2 linked regions of the Pelodiscus sinensis genome follow. The protein of the gene in region 2 binds, or shares a complex with, the protein of the main gene of each other region. Links are inferred from orthologs where the notes say so. Each region holds a gene or a part of one and is shown on either strand. Other genes may lie near its edges.

What was found.
Region 1: the proteins of CSF1R (region 2) and CSF1 are in contact, whole or in part, in a crystal structure (PDB 3EJJ), measured with the Mus musculus proteins. The link is inferred for Pelodiscus sinensis from reciprocal best matches to the Homo sapiens genes CSF1R and CSF1. Residues at the interface, in NP_001032948.2 of Mus musculus: Arg142, Arg146, Leu149, Arg150, Lys151, Lys168, Val169, Leu170, Ser172, Asn173, Val231, Gly232, Phe233, Leu248, Ser250, Asp251, Phe252, Asp254, Asn255, Tyr257, Lys259; in NP_001107002.1 of Mus musculus: His38, His41, Met42, Gly44, Asn45, Gly46, His47, Phe87, Gln90, Asp91, Asp94, Arg98, Asp101, Glu110, Arg111, Gln113, Glu114, Leu115, Asn117.

Annotation. Positions count from the first base shown.
Region 1 is NW_027465886.1:221,301-228,984, reverse strand, and holds the start of CSF1 (macrophage colony-stimulating factor 1), read left to right. Parts: upstream 1-4,609; 5' UTR 4,610-4,704; coding exon 4,705-4,914; intron 4,915-7,466; coding exon 7,467-7,595; intron 7,596-7,684. UniProt on the Homo sapiens protein: Cytokine that plays an essential role in the regulation of survival, proliferation and differentiation of hematopoietic precursor cells, especially mononuclear phagocytes, such as macrophages and monocytes.
Region 2 is NC_134727.1:34,930,156-34,938,165, forward strand, and holds the start of CSF1R (macrophage colony-stimulating factor 1 receptor), read right to left. Parts: upstream 3,247-8,010; 5' UTR 3,095-3,246; coding exon 3,046-3,094; intron 1-3,045. UniProt on the Homo sapiens protein: Tyrosine-protein kinase that acts as a cell-surface receptor for CSF1 and IL34 and plays an essential role in the regulation of survival, proliferation and differentiation of hematopoietic precursor cells, especially mononuclear phagocytes, such as macrophages and monocytes.

The sequences.
Region 1 (7,684 bases), on a different chromosome or scaffold from region 2:
GCTGGGAGCGGGTGACAGGAGGGATCACTTGGTGATTCCCTGTTCTATTCACTCCCTCTGGTGCATCTGGCAGTGGCCACTGTTGACAGACAAGACACTGGTCTGGATGGACCTTTGGTCTAACCTAGTCTGGCTGTTCTTATGAACTATCATATCAGTATGCCAGAGGATATTATAAACAGACACGTTAATTTACCCAAGTTAAAGTTACTCCTCAGATCTTTATAAAGTCTGCTGTCATGTTCAAGATCCAGTTTCAGAGCTCTCTCCTGACTCTGGCCTCAGCTTTCGCAGAGCATATGGTTTATGGGAAATCTGGGACAGTACTGTTAGTTTCAACCACTTATAGACTCATAGACTCATAAGGCTGTGTCTAGACTGGCAAGTTTTTCCGCAAAATCATCTGCTTTTGTGGAAAAACTTGCCAGCTGTCTACACTGGCCGCTTGAATTTCTGCAAGAACACTGACAATCTCATGTAAGATCGTCCGTGTTCTTGCGGAAATACTGTGCTGCTCCTGTTCGGGCAAAATCCCTCTTGTGCAAATCATTTGCGCAAGAGGGCCAGTGTAAACAGCACAGGACTGTTTTGGGCAAAAAAGTCCCGATGGCTAAAATGGCGATCGGGGCTTCTTTGCGCAAAAGCGCATCTAGATTGACACGGATGCTTTTCCGCAAAAAGTGCTTTTGTGGAAAAGCGTCTGTGCCAATCTAGATGCTCTTTTCCGAAAATGCTTTTAACGGAAAACTTTTCCGTTAAAAGCATTTCTGGAAAATCATGCCAGTGTAGACGTAGCCTATATAGACTTCAAGGTCAGAAGGGACCAGTATGATCATCTAGTCTGACCCCCTACACAGTGAAGGCCACAGAATCTCACCCACCCACCCACCCACTCCTGGAATAATCTTCTCACCTATATCTCAGATATTGAAGCCTTCAAATACTTTGAAGACCCCAAGATACAGAGACTCCTCCAGCTGTGATCTGTGCCCCATGCTACAGAGGAAGGTGAAAAACCTCCAGGACCTCTGCCAATCTACACTTCAGAAAGTTAACTAATAAAGTCAGTTTCATTTTTATGGCCCATTTCACTTCTGATATTTGTGACTGTGCTACAAGTCAGTGACAAGATTTGCTTCCTTACAAACAGCTGTTTCCAACAAGCTTTTAAAAAACCAATGAAGGGAGGTGGTTTCTATTTTTCTTAAAACCACCTATGTGTTAAACCAGATTGGCTCTGGCAAGTGACAATGTTCCTCTGCTGCTCAGCTGGTCCTTTGCTTGAGAACAATAGCCATAGGTTTATGTGCTCTTTATGCATTTTGTCATAGATACATGCTCACAGTTCCACACATTTCCTACACACATGCCAATCGGGACACATGCACTCCCAGCCCCACACTGCAGACATGATCATTTCCATGCCCACTGTGTGTGCGCACGCTGTGACATAGTGGAGGTGCTGTCTGCTCTGTAACCCGGGGTTCCCCCATGCTGTGATGTGTGGAGGATGTCCTGGCTTTCTGGGAAAGGCTCGCTGAGGACATGGGCCCGGCCAGAGAGACCATGGGCAGAGTCCAAGAGAAGTGGAAGGGCTGGTCCGACCACAAAGAGTGGGCCCGCGCCGGCCCCCTCAAAGCTGTGCAGCAGCCAAATGGGGGGGAGCCGGCTCCCGCAGGGCACTGCCGTGGCCGGCCCAAGCCAAGGGAAGGTCCAATATCACTGCTGCGGCTTTACCTGGCAGGAGGCCCGAACTTCCCCAGGTCATAAGCAGAGTAATACTCAGTTCGCTCTCGGAGGGGGGAGAGATGTGACATAGTGGGGGGCTGTCTGCTCTGTAACCAGAGGTTCCTCCACACTGTGATGTGTGATTCCCACTGACTCACCCAAATGAGGATTGGTCCAGACACCTAGTCCCAGCCTGAGCAGATAACAAGGCTCTTCCCAGGGGGAGAGACAAAGGAGGGGAGGCGGAGACGGCCACCTGGCTGGGGGGCAGAGCCTGGGAGCTAGTCAGTCTTGTCTGGAAAAACATGGAGAGAAGGGACTAAGCTGAGTACTGGGAGTTGAGAGGGGCAGTGGACCCCTACCCCAGGGGGTCTGAGGCTGCCTGGCCCTGACTCTTGTAACCACATCACATCTATGTTGTGCAGTATCCTGGAGAAGCAATAAACGCTCACTATTCTACTGGCTGGCAGTCTCATCTTGCTGCTACGAGGGTGCAGGATCGGGGGGATCCCCAACATGCCGTCACAGACACACACACACACACGTACTCATATGCACACATCTCACACAGACACATTCCGATTCACACTCGTGCCAGTGCATTATTTTTTGACTGAAACGAACACATGCTCACTGAGGCCTTTTCTATACTTTCAGGCTTCTACTTAGCAAGTCTAATAAGGACCCACTAGATTGAATGTTGGGGGTGCCCCTGTTGATCCCAGTACTCCTCGGAGTCATGGGGAATAAGGGATGTTGATGGGAGAGTTTCTCCCATCAACCTGCAACAGGGCTGCCCCAGAAATGTAAGGTATTTCAACTCCAGCTACACAATTCTCATTGTTGGAGTTGTGCATCTCAAGTCGAACTTCTGGCATAGTGTAGATCTGTCCTGAGGATACATCTACATGGCAAAAAAACCCGAACTCCAGCAAGGAGTCTCAGAGCCTGAGTCAACTATCACAGGCTATGGGGCTACTGATAACAGTGCAGATTTTCCTGCTCAGGGTGATCCCTGCCCACTCTCTGAAACATGGCAAGGTGTAGGTCAGGGTTACTCAACACGCCGCCAGCAGGTGGGATCCTTTGAACATGGCTTCTGCTGGGAAGTCAATATAATGGCCTTTTGTTGAGCTGTGTTTAGTTGTTCAATTCCTGCACTGTCATTACTCATTAAAAGTGCTGTCATATGGGTGGAAATAGTGTAAATGTTGCATTTTATGAATATCAGCAGAATGACTTAAATGGGGCCTGCGTGTTGTGTGCTCTTTGTATTCATGCCCATCTGTGTGAAAGAAGCTATTTGCATATATTTGCATACATATTTGCATGTACATGCAACCACACTTAAGTTGTGACCTTCGGCAAGTGCTGAGAGTATCATCCTGGCTCCCGGGGTTTCCAAAGTTGAGTAGCCCTGGCATAGGTGGTCTCAGAACCTGCTGTTTTTTAGCCCTGTAGTCTGAGTCTGCATTAAGTTACCTGAGTGCTGTGGTTCTCGGCTGCACATTTTTATTGTTTGCAGTGTGTCAAAGCACCCTAGGAAGAGGGCTACACTTCAAACTTTTGCTGGGGTGATGTTTTAATATTTGATACAGACCATCAGTGTAGTGTAGACACAGCTGAAACAGTGTAAATGTGCTTCCTGCAGTCCAACAGAACCTCAGAGTTATGAACACCAGAGTTGCAAACAGACCAGTTCACGATACATCTCATTTGGCAGCGGAAGTAAGCAATCAGGCAACAGCAGAGACTGGAAAAACAAACCAAAACAAACCCGCAAAAGAAAACAAATACAGCACAGTGCTGTGTTAAACACAAACTCTTTTAAAAAATAAAGGAAAAGCAGCATTTGTTTCTGCACATTAAAGATCGAAAGCTGCAGTGAGTCAACACTCACTTGTAAACTTTTGAAAGCAAACCCATATGGTTCACAGTTCCAAGCAGCCATCATTCCCGAGGAGTCTGTAACTGGGGCTCTACTGAAGAGCTTATTTCATGCGGGGAAGCAGTGTAAACCTTCCTGGGAAAGCACTTGCTTGCTGGTACAAGCTACATGTGAACTGAAAGGCTTCACCTGTCTGGCTGTAAGGGCAAACCTTTCTCAGCGCAGAGCAGGCTTAACACAAGCACCCACCTGGCATACATAGGTCCCACCACTACCCCACTGTTCTGCTGGGCCTGCCTAGGAGCTGCCTGGCAGGAGAGCAGCAGCTTCTGATGACAGTCTCCCAACACAGCAGGGGAAGGGGGCATGGAGGAACATTGGGGCCAGCAGTGTCTGTGCCTCTCCACACCACCCCCTTCCTCTGAGAAATCGGGGCACTGCAGCAGCGAGCAGTTTCTGATCTGCCTGGTCACAGCATCACTAGGCAGCCACCCCTTGCGCCTGGCGCTGCTGGGACACTTTCTAGCACAGGGGTGGGCAAGACGCGGCCCGGGGTCAGATCTGGACCGCGGCCCGTCCCACTGGTGCCAAAGGCAAGGAGCAGCCCCAGGGCTCAGTGCGGCTGTCTGCTCCATCTGCCTCTCTGTGTCGGGGGAGGGGGGAGCTTTGTGCCTTGTGAACCCCCCTCCTTTGCCTAACTCCCTCTCAGAGCCCAGGCCCTCTCCTGCACCCAGTTCCCTGCCCGAGCTCTCTTCTGCACCCACCATCCGTCCCAGACTCCCCACCCTCTCCCTAGAAAAGTGCTCCCCTCAAAACGTATTGCCCGCCCCTGCTGTAGCAGCCTGGCCCAGGCACTTCAGACGCAGCAGGGGAAGGAGTCCTGCCCGCTGCTGGCGGAGGCTGGGACCGGCAGGACACTGCTGCTAGCCCATGCGGGACAGCCCCAGGCTGGGCGCGGGGTGCGGGGGCCGGGGATGCCCGAGAAAGGTGAAGGCAGCACCAGATGCTCCTTTCGCCTTCCCCCTCTCCTCCAGCGGAAACAAAGGGCCGGCGCTGGCGGGTGGCCAAGGTGATTTCCCATAAACCACATGCTCCGAGGCAGTATAAGGGCGAGCCCAGGAGAGCAGGCAGGACAGAGCCACCTCCTCCTCCGTGCGCGGAGCCGCAGCGAAACTTCCTCCCGGCAGCCCGCGATGACTGCACAGCTCCGCGCCGCCGCCGCCGCCGCCCCCCGGCCCCGCTCCCAGGAGGTGCCAGCTCCGCGGACGGCTGTCCCCATGCGCCGGCTCGGCCCCAAGGTAGGGGCGCGCAAGGACCGCGCAGGGCGCGCGCTGAGAACTCCAGGCTGCAGCAGGACAGATGGCCCGAGGCGGGGGACGCGTCTGGCTTTTCTGCGCTCTCTAGTTGCCTGCGCTGCTGCTTCCCCCCACCGCGCCGCACCCTTCGCTGCTGCGCGCCTGTCCCGCGGCGCCTCCTGCCCTTTGCCGAGCGCCCTAGCGCAGCTGGGATGCGCGAAGAGCGTGGGGCGCCTGGCTCCGGTCTGCCAGGGATGGGGACCCCTAACTCCCTTGGGAGTCCGCTCCCGGCGTGTGTCGGGGCTGAGCCCGTTGGGTGCTTCCCGGGCTGGAAGGCTTGGCCCCAGCGTGGTTGTTTAGGGCTGGAGTGAGAGCGAAGGAGCAAAGTGAGCAGCTCTCTGCCTGCGCCGGACACTCCTTCTTTCTGCCCCTTGCTTGCTCCCCTCGGCTGGGCTCTGCCTTTGGATGGAGGCAACTGGCTGCGTGTCAGGTCTGGCCGGCAGGCGCTTTCTTGCCAAAAGTGTTGACAGCACAGGGACTGCAAGAGAGGTGGAGACCGACGTTCCTCTCGGCCTTGTTTTGCACCGCGTAGCCAGGGACTGAGCCAAGAGAGCGGCTCCAGGCGGGGGCATGGCAAGGAGCTTTGGGTTGGTTTGGAGAGAGCCCGGCGAGCCGTGGTTGGCCCCTTCCCGTCGGAAGTTTGCAGGGGATCCCCTCGCCTGTTGGAGCAGAGCGCAGAGCAGGGAACCAAGTCCAGCTAATCAGCTGTCCCAGGACACTGCTTCATCAAAGGATCCAGATAGACCAATATGCTAAGATCTAGGAGGGTAGATCGGTAGCTAATGAGGTTAGTTTGTCAGTCCCCCTATCTATCCATCTAGCTATTGATCTATCCCTATAGATAACATCTATCTGTTCTCCTAGGTCTTAATATTCTGGTCAAGCTAACTGACTAGATCAGTGTATTAAGGTCTAGGAGGGTGGGTAAGTAGTTAGCTGGATAAATATAGATAAGATCTAGTAAGAGAGTTAGCAAGATAGATAGATAGATTGATCAGTACACTAGCTAGCTAACTTTCTTCCTAGATCTTCAGATATTGATCTAGTTTGATTGATTAATTGGGATACCAGGATCCAGGAGGATAGTTATCTTAGTATACTGATCTGTCTACCTAGGTCTTAGTTCAGATGATGGGTCTGTGTACTAAGATTCATCTATCTATTCTAATCTAATCTAATCTATCTCCATAAACCAGCTATTTATTATACTTGTATTATTTTATTATTTATTGGTACCTTGTAATTAGCCATTTAATCTATTTTCCACTCATCTAATTTCCCCATCCATTTCTACCCCATTTCAAAGGAGCCACCCTGGGGCTGCCCTGAGTTTCCCATGTAATCGTGGGTTAACTCCCCCCCCCCCCCCCGGACTCCAGCTAGAGGGTAGCAGGGTATGAAGCAGGCAGGTTTATATTCCTTCCCAGCCACTTGACTATTTTTTTAGCATTTACCTTTGTGATTCTGAGTGTTCTCATTTTCCACATAAATGTTCAATCCCTTTTGGAATCCTGCTAGGATTCTGGCCTCATGGAGAGCCTGTGGAACTCATTGCCACAAGGTAACTGCATTATGTGAAAAGGAATTTGTGGAGTTAAAGCCGAGCCCCAGCTTATACAGAGGGATATGGCTCCATGATGGGGCTTTGTGAAAGGAGGTGCAAAAGGAAGCTGAAGGCTGGGGTGCAGCTGCACGGAGGGCCAGGGAGGGGTCTTGGAAAGGGAGGACACATTTGCAGCTGGCTCTGTGCTGGATGAATTCAAGGGTGTCAGGGACTGAAGAGTCTTCCCCAGAGACAAGGCGGGGAAGGGGACCATAGGGCAGGGTGAGAGTCAAAGGGGCAGTGGGAAGGGAGTGATGGAGGAGACAAGAGGAGGGAGCAGAAGAGAAGTTGGAGTGGGAAGGGAGAGACCCCAGACTGCAAGGAGCAATGGAGGGAGCAGGAAGGCAATGAAGGGAGAAGTGTTGGAGTGGTGAAGACAGGACAAAACTGTGCCTGGTGCACTCTCGGTTGGCAGCAGCCCAAAGCAGCTTGTGCACACTTGTGTCCATCAGCAGCTTGTGTGGCCCTCAGAGAGCCAGGCTGGGGAATTCCCAGCAGGGTCTGCTCAGCTGACCACTTACCTTTCTAATAATAGCAGGCCAGGCAGTGGGAGAGGGAAAGGGCAGCAGGGGAGGGGGAGATGTGTTCCCAGACTGCAGTGGGAATGCCTGGGTGCACACTGGAAAGGATTTGTGCCCTGAGCTCCTGTTTCAGCAACCCAGTGCAGCTTGTATCTGTCCTGGGGAGTGCCACTCTGTGCTTGCCTGCCACCTCTCCTAGCTATCTCTGCCTTGCTATGGGGCAGGGACTGGCCCAAAGGTCCACACCAAAGGCTGTTGGCAGAGGAAGGCAGGGGATCACTCCTGGAGCCCGCCCTGGAGGCTGCTAGCCATTGGGGCAGCGGGGAGCCCAGGGACATGGCTTCTCGGCTGACAGCTTCTCCCTTCCTCAGGCATGCCCAGTCTCCTGCACCCTGCTGACTTTCCTCCTCCTCGCCACCTGCAGCATCCATGAAACTGAGCAGAAAGGCTACTGTGAGAATATCATCACCCAAAAGCACCTGGATAAGCTGCAGGAGTTGGTAAGTGTCACACCCAGCCTGCTGCTGGGATGGGATGTGGAACATCAGGGTGTGAGGCTGGGGCCTGCTGCTAGCCAGGTGCCCATGCT
Region 2 (8,010 bases):
TGTAGAAATTTCGGAAAAGCCTCTTCCGAAAAAAAAATTGGAAAAAGATATGCAAATTGCGAAGTGCAATTTGCATACCTTTTTCCAAAAAAAAAGCGGCAGGCTAGACATAGCCGGGGGACACTGCAATGCTGAAAGAGGAGTGAAGAAATGGACTCTTCCCATTCAGGCTGAAAACAAAATACAACCTTCTGGAGGCGTATGCAGGGATAATCCGGGTGCATACAAACCTAGGGGTGCTTTGGGATTCGTGGTCCTAGGGGAATTCTGAATGAGTGTGGTAAATGCAGCTGTCAGAAACATCATGGGACAACTCCGGTGGGAAACAACCAGCAATCCTAATGAGATAGTTCCACCGGATGGGGATCTATATTGTGAACATGTCTGTGCTTCAAGTGGGGATCCTGACAGAGTTCACTGGGCTCCAGGCAACCTGATGTTTCCCCAGTAACTGCCTAGTCCACGTTATCCCAAGATCCCACCCTGCCCAGAGTTCCCAGCCATTCCTGTCTCCCCCTGGGACAGTCCCAGCTGCTCATGTAACCTGCACACTGGCTGGGTGTGGTGGTTGACTGTCCCAGGTAGCGGCACTGAGACCACTTCCAGAGAGAGAGAATGAGTTTGCTCTCTACAGCCCTAACTGAGAGCCAGCTGGTTTTTAACTCCGGTCAGAGAGGCTCATGCACTAAGCTCCCGAGCTCCCAGGTTTGGTTGCTCCTGTCGACATGACACTCAGTTCCGTGGAGAAACAGCACAGTTCCTTCAGGCAGTGGGCATAGCAGGGGAAGGGACTCTCCCACAATGTCACCATTGCGTGAAATGCAGAAAACTGTCCGCTGCCAGAGAGCTTCTTTTGCAAATGTCCAATCTGGGCTGGAGAATCCTGCTTGTGTCTCTTGGAGGATTGACGACACAATAACAGGGAACAGGCGGACCGTCCACATCAGAACAGGCGGACTAGACTCTTCTGTATCCCATCCACAGTGCCTGAGTTTGTACTTCCTTTGAAAGGCTTAACAATACTCTTGGCCCATCCCTTATCTGCCAGCATTCCCAATGACTTCAGAAAGAAGGCTGAAGTGGCTTGGGCAGACAGCAGGCAGGGGTCACCAACCAGTCGATTGGGATCGACTGGTAGGTCTTGGAGCCTCTGACAGGTGATCCTGACTGGTTTGGTCAAGAGGTTATCCAGCCCAGCACTTCAGCTGCTCCCCCCCGCCCCTGACTGCTGTGCATCTCCTGCCCTTTGTCTTGGAGCTGACCCCCAGAAACCTCCTGCTTGTTGAGCAGGGCAGGGGAGGGACAGGAGGGTGCTGATGTCAAGGTGCCCCCTCTCCCACCCTGTATCCTATCTCCACAGAGCGGAGAGGGGGCACAGCAGGACTGGTCATGGAGTTTGCTAGCTATTTTTGGGAGTGGTGCTGGGCCAGGACGGGGTAAGCATGCCTTAGCTCCACTGCACCACCACCCAGGAGCCACCTGAGGTCAGCAGGGCCCAGCTGGTGCCCACATCCCAAAACCCTACCCCATGCTGAACCCCAGGTCCTGCCCTAGACCCAAGCAGCCCTGCATCCAAACACCCAGAGCCTGAACCTAGAACCCCTTCCGGCACCCCAACTGCCTGCCCCTAGCTCAGCTTAGAGCCCCTCTTACATGCCAAATCCCTTAAGACACACCCCAGCCCTCTGCCCCAGCCTGGTGAAAGGGAGGGAGGATGAAGTGAGCAGGGGCGGGGCCTTGAAGAAGGGGCGCAAAGGAGGCGGGACAAGAGTATTTGGGTTTGAGGTCGACCGTGGATTGCACTTCAATTTGAAAAGTGAGCCCGTGCTGAAAAAGGTTGGAGACCCCTGCAGTAGGGTATTAAAAACCTAGTATCCCTAGACAAATCTGTGACTGGATCCCACTTGGCACAAGACAGAAAAAAGGACAAAAATGACATAAAAGAACAATGAACAATGAACAAAGAACACTGCTGCTGTGGGAACAGATTATAATGCAGCGAGAAACGTGGTCCTGGAGCGCTGGAGGTGGGAACATCGAATCACTAGGCACGAGAGCGTCTACTCTCACGCAATTTGACACAGCATAGCTCTAGCCGCTGCGTCGGTTACAGCGCGTCTGCAGGAATCCGGGCAGGTTATTCTGCTGGGTGTCCCACTTCCTCGTAGCAGGATCCTGCTTTTTACACAGCCAAGAGCGGGGAACCCTCCCCCCCAAGTCTTGTCCAGATTCATCCAACAACACTTAGCATATCTATGGGCTTTATATGTCCAAAACAACAACACAGGCATTACTAATAGAACAAGCCACAGTTTAACCCTGCTCTGTCCTAGGGCATCTTTAGGCCCCTAACGAGCTTTATTAATCTGGCCTCAGGATACTCAAATTCTCTTGTACCTCCCTGCTAATGCTGGTATGTTGCACTTAGGGCGCAGTCATTTGCTTGTGTCCCTTAGCGCGCCTGCCAGGCAGACCACCCCTTACCGATTCTGTCTGTGCCCTATTAACGCCCCCACAATCGCAGCAGCTGTCCCTTGCAATGGTCTGCAGAATTAAGGACTTTAATGCTCCCCTCCCCCCCCCCCCGCCCCTCTTGGTTTGCAGGAGAGGTGAGCATGAGCTCCGCTCTCCCTTTTGAGAGCTGGGCCATGCGTTCTTTGGGTCCAACCTGGAGCTCCTTGCTGTGTTTTCATTCCCCCCGCCTTCCCCCCCCCAACTCAGGCAGAGTTCCCTGGGCCTGATTTTTCAAGGCGTTCCTGATGTTCGAAGTTTGAGTGCTTTTCTAAATCCCGCTCGGTGCCTAGCTGCCTCTTTCCGTTTCTACACTCCTTTAAAAATCCGGCCGAGTTACTTGAATGGGGGCGTTTGTTCAAGAAGGAATGGCGCCAACACCCAACGAGGAGCGAGGCATTCTTCCTACTCTGCACAATCACGTCTGGGTTGTGCGGTAAGTCCAGCCAACTGGCAAATCTCTCACTAGGCACCCGATACGCCACCGCTTTCCAGCCCACATTGGCTCAAGGGAGTGGGTGCTCTCTGACCTACCATGCCAGATGCCAGCTGCAACCAGAAGCACCAGGATGCCAGGGTCCATCTTGGGCTGAAGGTACCCTCCTGCCCTGGTCAGGTGGGCTGCGATCCAGGGGAAAGGAACAAAGCACTTCAGCGCAATAGATCCTCTTGAGCAGGATGGAGAAGACTGGACTGGAACGTGCTGCTGAGTCGTCTATAACCGTTCCCTGCTGCCGTCTCTGGGACACTTCTCCTTTTCTTTCGGAACTGACCACAAGTTAGGAAATCCCTATTTTTTTTTTAAAGAGAGTTATACAGTGTCACTAATCGTAGAGGACACCCCACTGCTCACCTCCAAAACCTGCCCTTCATCATCGACTTGGGCGTGCCTCCTTGCACCTGTCTTCTGATTTACCATCAGAAAAGCTGCATCACGAAGTGGGGCGTTACAGAAAACATTATTGACTCTAGACACACACGGGGCTAAGCCGCCGGGACAGGCCAACACGCTGCACTAGCCCTATAGTAAGCGGCAAGGCTTGGGGCTGGGCTGTAGAGAGCTTGATTGCATTCCCATTGTGGCAGAAATTAATCCCACGTCACTTCAAAGAGATTGTCAGGGTACATCTGGCACCCACTGCAGGTTGTGCGAAGCATGGGGGCGCCCACTGGGTTACAGCAGCAGAGGAGCTGGGGAGTGCCGTCTAACCCTGAGGGCCTTCATCTGTGACTGCCCAGTGACATCAGAGAATGGAGAAATGTTCCAGCTAATTTTTTCCATCAATGTGCAGAATAAATTTTGCTATATGCACCAAAGTGCCTTTTAGCAGAGCACCCACAGCCAGCAGCGTGCGGTTCTACTGGTGGTGCACATCTGTGCAACATGGGGCAGATGTGCACCACCAATAGAAACACACTGCTGGCTGTGGGTGCTCTGCTAATCAGAGGGACGGCATTTGAATCTCTCCTGGGCGCCCGCCCGAGCTCTCATCTTACAGGGAACATGGCCAGTGGGGTCCAAATCTGGAGTGAACAAAGGCAAAAGCCTCGGGATTCACTTCTCAGAAGCCAGGTTTTTCCTGAGGGCATTATTCCATCCAGGCAGGGATCAGGCCTCCAGTGCATGGGGGGAGAGTTGCTTGTTTGTTTTATATTTGTACGTGTTCCCCATTGGCACCAGCCGCAGGACAATTCAGGGAGCCATGTGCAAAAGAATTACATGCAAGCATTAGCGAAATTGTGGCCACTTCCCACTCTGCTGAGAACATTGTAAACAAGAGCCAAAGGCTGTATGTGCGAAGGCAGCAGTTCCTTGCTGAACCTCGGAGGGAGACTGCTTTGCATGGCTGTATGCAGGCAGCAGACCAGAGACTCGGTGTAAATCACTGTCAGTCTAGTAAAGTCAATGGGACCCATGCAATTTACACCACCAGAGGACATGGCCTGATGCGTAACACACAGTACGACCTACAGCTAGTCCCTGCTGCATTTGCTGCGTTTTTCTTTAGCAGCTTGTAAATGCTAAAAGAAATCCTTGTGCCAGTGCTTCTGCAAAATGTCAGGGGGCCTCAAATGCATGCAAGGAGTGTTGCTGCTTTATTTCCTCCTCCCCGAGGAGATCGGGAAATACAGGAAACTAGGAAAGGTGCCAAACAACTAGCAGTTTTGCAAGGCCACCTTTCCAGGCGACAGGAATGGAAAGCGTGCAAAACTCCTAGTTGTTTGGTACCTTGATCCACCTACCAGGAGAGAGAATTTACCGTAAACCGTGTGGTTCTCCAGCCCCACAACTCCAGCTCTGACCGTATTTCCTGAATAGAAGTCGCCAAAGAAAGGAATTAGTTTTTCCATATAGTTGTGTATGTGCTGAGGTGACCCACTGAAAAATTGCACGGCTGCCAGCGGGTTAACGAGATGAGGAGTAAGGAATATTCATTGTGGACTGTACTGTACTCCACCGGCTGCCAGAACCTGGCAAATGGGGGTCGTACAATGTTGCAGCCAGGCGCCATTGCCACTTGCCTGCTCTGCTCAGGCCAAAGGGTGGGGTGGCTCAGGCGGAGAAGCACTAGACATGAGCTCATCCATTAGTGATTCATTGTTTCTCCATCCGTGCCTCTGCTGCCCAGGAGCTGCAATGGAGATTCCACAGGGGCTGGCAAGGTGGATGGGGCTTCGTTGGGGGCGTGAGCCCAGGACTCTACATTTCAAGGCACGTGGTGAGACATGCCTGGCAGCCGTCGTCACTGCTAGAGGAGATGAAGCACAGACCAGGGCAGTGCCAACTTCACCAATCAGGGTGCCATATTATGGAGATAGACCTATCTCAGAGCTGGAAGGGACCTTGAGAGGTCATCGAGTCCAGTCCCCTGCCCTCACGGCACGACCAAGTACCATCCCTGACAGATTTGCCCCAAATGGCCCCTCTCAAGGATTGAGCTCACAGCCCTGGGTTTAGCAGGCCAATACGCAAACCACGGAGCTATTGAACCCCGATGTTGGATGGGCCCCTGTCGTCTGGGCTCCTGACAGTGACCAGTGCAGGCAAGCAAAGGAAGGTTCAAGAAACTCTTTGGCCTGTCTGGGGAATAAGCTGCCCAAGGGAAAGATGCTTCTGAGCCTGATGTGCCTCGGCCCCGAAGGGGAGGAATCACCCTTGCGAGCGACAGGCGATGTGGCTCAGGCCTTGGCCTCTTTGCTGAGGCCAGAGCTGGTGTGATTATTTGCGGGGCCTAGTTCGAATGGGACGCCGCAGCCTGGGGTACCAGCAGCCCCACACCAGGCCCAGGGCACCGGCAATGCCCATGTGGGGTTGTGGCGGCTGCTCCCATAGCGGCACCAAGAGCTCCCAGCATGGCAGCGTGGGGGAGGGGGTACCTGAGGCACCCTCACCACAAGCACCTGCGGCAGCCGCCTCCTCTTCTCTCAGGGGCCCCACTGGGCTGGAGGGGGGCAGGGTGGAAACCGCCATGTGCAATCCACAGCTTGGAGACGCACCTCAGGTAGCACGCGCCACCCAGGCAGGCAGGGCCTATAATAAAGTGCAGGGGCCGTGTGCGAGGGAACCGGCTGCGCACGCCTCACGCAGGCCCTTGCTGAGGCAGCCAAGAACCAAGTCAATAAAGGCTCACGTTGAGGGTGGTGCCTGATGCGGGAACTTGCCCACTGGGCACATGACCGAGTCCAGCCGTGTGCGGCACTTTGGTCATCATAGAGTGGCCAGTATCTTTTCTCATGACCAAACCGGGCTTGTCAGGGCAGGCTTTGCAGGCCCCACTGAATCTGTTGCCCCCACATGTTTATGGGGGCGACTCCAAAGAGCCCTTTCTCTCTGAGGAGTGCGCCCTGGGCATTATTCATCAATTCCTACTGTTGTTCTGTATTGGCCGAGCTCTCAGCCTCTGGCCTATTTCTGGAAGCAGGCCTCTTCTTACACAGCCAAGCGCCTTCCCAGCCAAGGCCAGTTCAAAGCCAGAAAAGAAAACTGAAACTGCATTAAAGCTCATCTCTAAGTGTGTGAAAATGAACACAGCAGGAAAAGCCTTGCATGCAAATAAATACCAAGGCATGAAACCCAAAGGAAGGCTGGCTTGGCCTTGCCCATTGCTAAGTGTGTGCTAGACGGCATCAAGTGCAAGAACAATTGTGAAGTTACCGGCTCCCTTCCCTTAGGGTGGCCAGATGGCCTGTTTTTAAAGGGACAGTCCGGTATCTAAGTCCTCCTGCAAGTGTCCCTACAATGGGCAAATTGTCCCCGTATTTTCTATCTCCCCTCTGCTATCAGTGCAGGCGGGTCCTACAGCTGGCCAGATCCTTGCTCGCCTGCTGCCCACTCACCAGCAGTGAGTGGGGGGGCGGGAATCCAGTGGGCGGTGGGGGTTGGGCACAGCTGCAGCATATGGGACCAGCTGCTTCCCCTTCTGGTCCACCAGGACAGTCCCTGCTGCTGTGTTTCCTCTTGGCCAGCAGCCCCTCCCACATCCCATTGCCTTGTTTCCAGCCGGAACTAGCAACTTGCTTCAGTGGCTGGTGAGCGGGCTGACCATGGCTGGCCGGTTGCCTCACTGTCCTCTCCCTGCTGGGCCTTTCATCCCCTCAGCCCTACTGCTCCTCCATCTCCCCCCACCCTGCCCCGTGAGGTGCATCCTGGACCCGGTGCTGTGCGAAGAACCAGCCCCTGGTCCGATCATTCATCTCACCAACAGCCTAGCTGGCTGGCTCTGTCCCCCCGCTGCCTTTGGCTGGGACGGAAGCCATGGAGGGACCCTCTGGCCCAGGATGCCGGCCAGGAGGAGCCAAGTCCTCCATGTACCAAAGCCCCACCCAGCACTGGCCTGGGGAATTGTCCCCCTCCCCTGTGCACAATACAGCCTTAGGGCTTAACCCCTTCCTGCCCACGCTGTAGCCAAGGAGCAAGAGGTGGCTGCGTTGAGTCGGTGGCCAGCAGCATCCTGGAGGGGTTAGCTGCTGTTCTACAGGCAGAAAGTAGCTTTTCTACAAGCTGCTTCTAGCCACAGAGGAGTGGGAGGAGCAAGGATAGAGATAACCTCTGCAAAGCCGCGGGCCATGTCATCCCTACCCCGCTGTGGCTGGAAGTGCTTCCCTTCTGCACAGTACCAAGAGGCTGCTGCTGGCCATGTTCTGGGGTGGACCCCTCACAGATCTCTGGGGAGGATGGGCTGTGACCCTGCCGCTTGTTGCCTCGAGACGACATGGTACCAGACGAGATGGGTCCATCTGAAGGTCCCAGGAAGAGAGCACTAGGCAGGGAGGGTTGGGTCAGGTTGGTCGCCCATCTCCATGGGCCAGGTTGGTTGGCCACCCTCATCCTCACGTAAGAGAGGTGTGTGTGTCTGTGAGACCGTTCCCCATGCAAACCTTAGGCCAAGGCTACACAACAGCCAAAGGTCAGCGTAAGGTACACATTTCCAACTGTGTAAAAAACGTAACTGGAGTTGACGTACCTTAAGCCGAGTTTTTGCACCATCCTCACAGTGG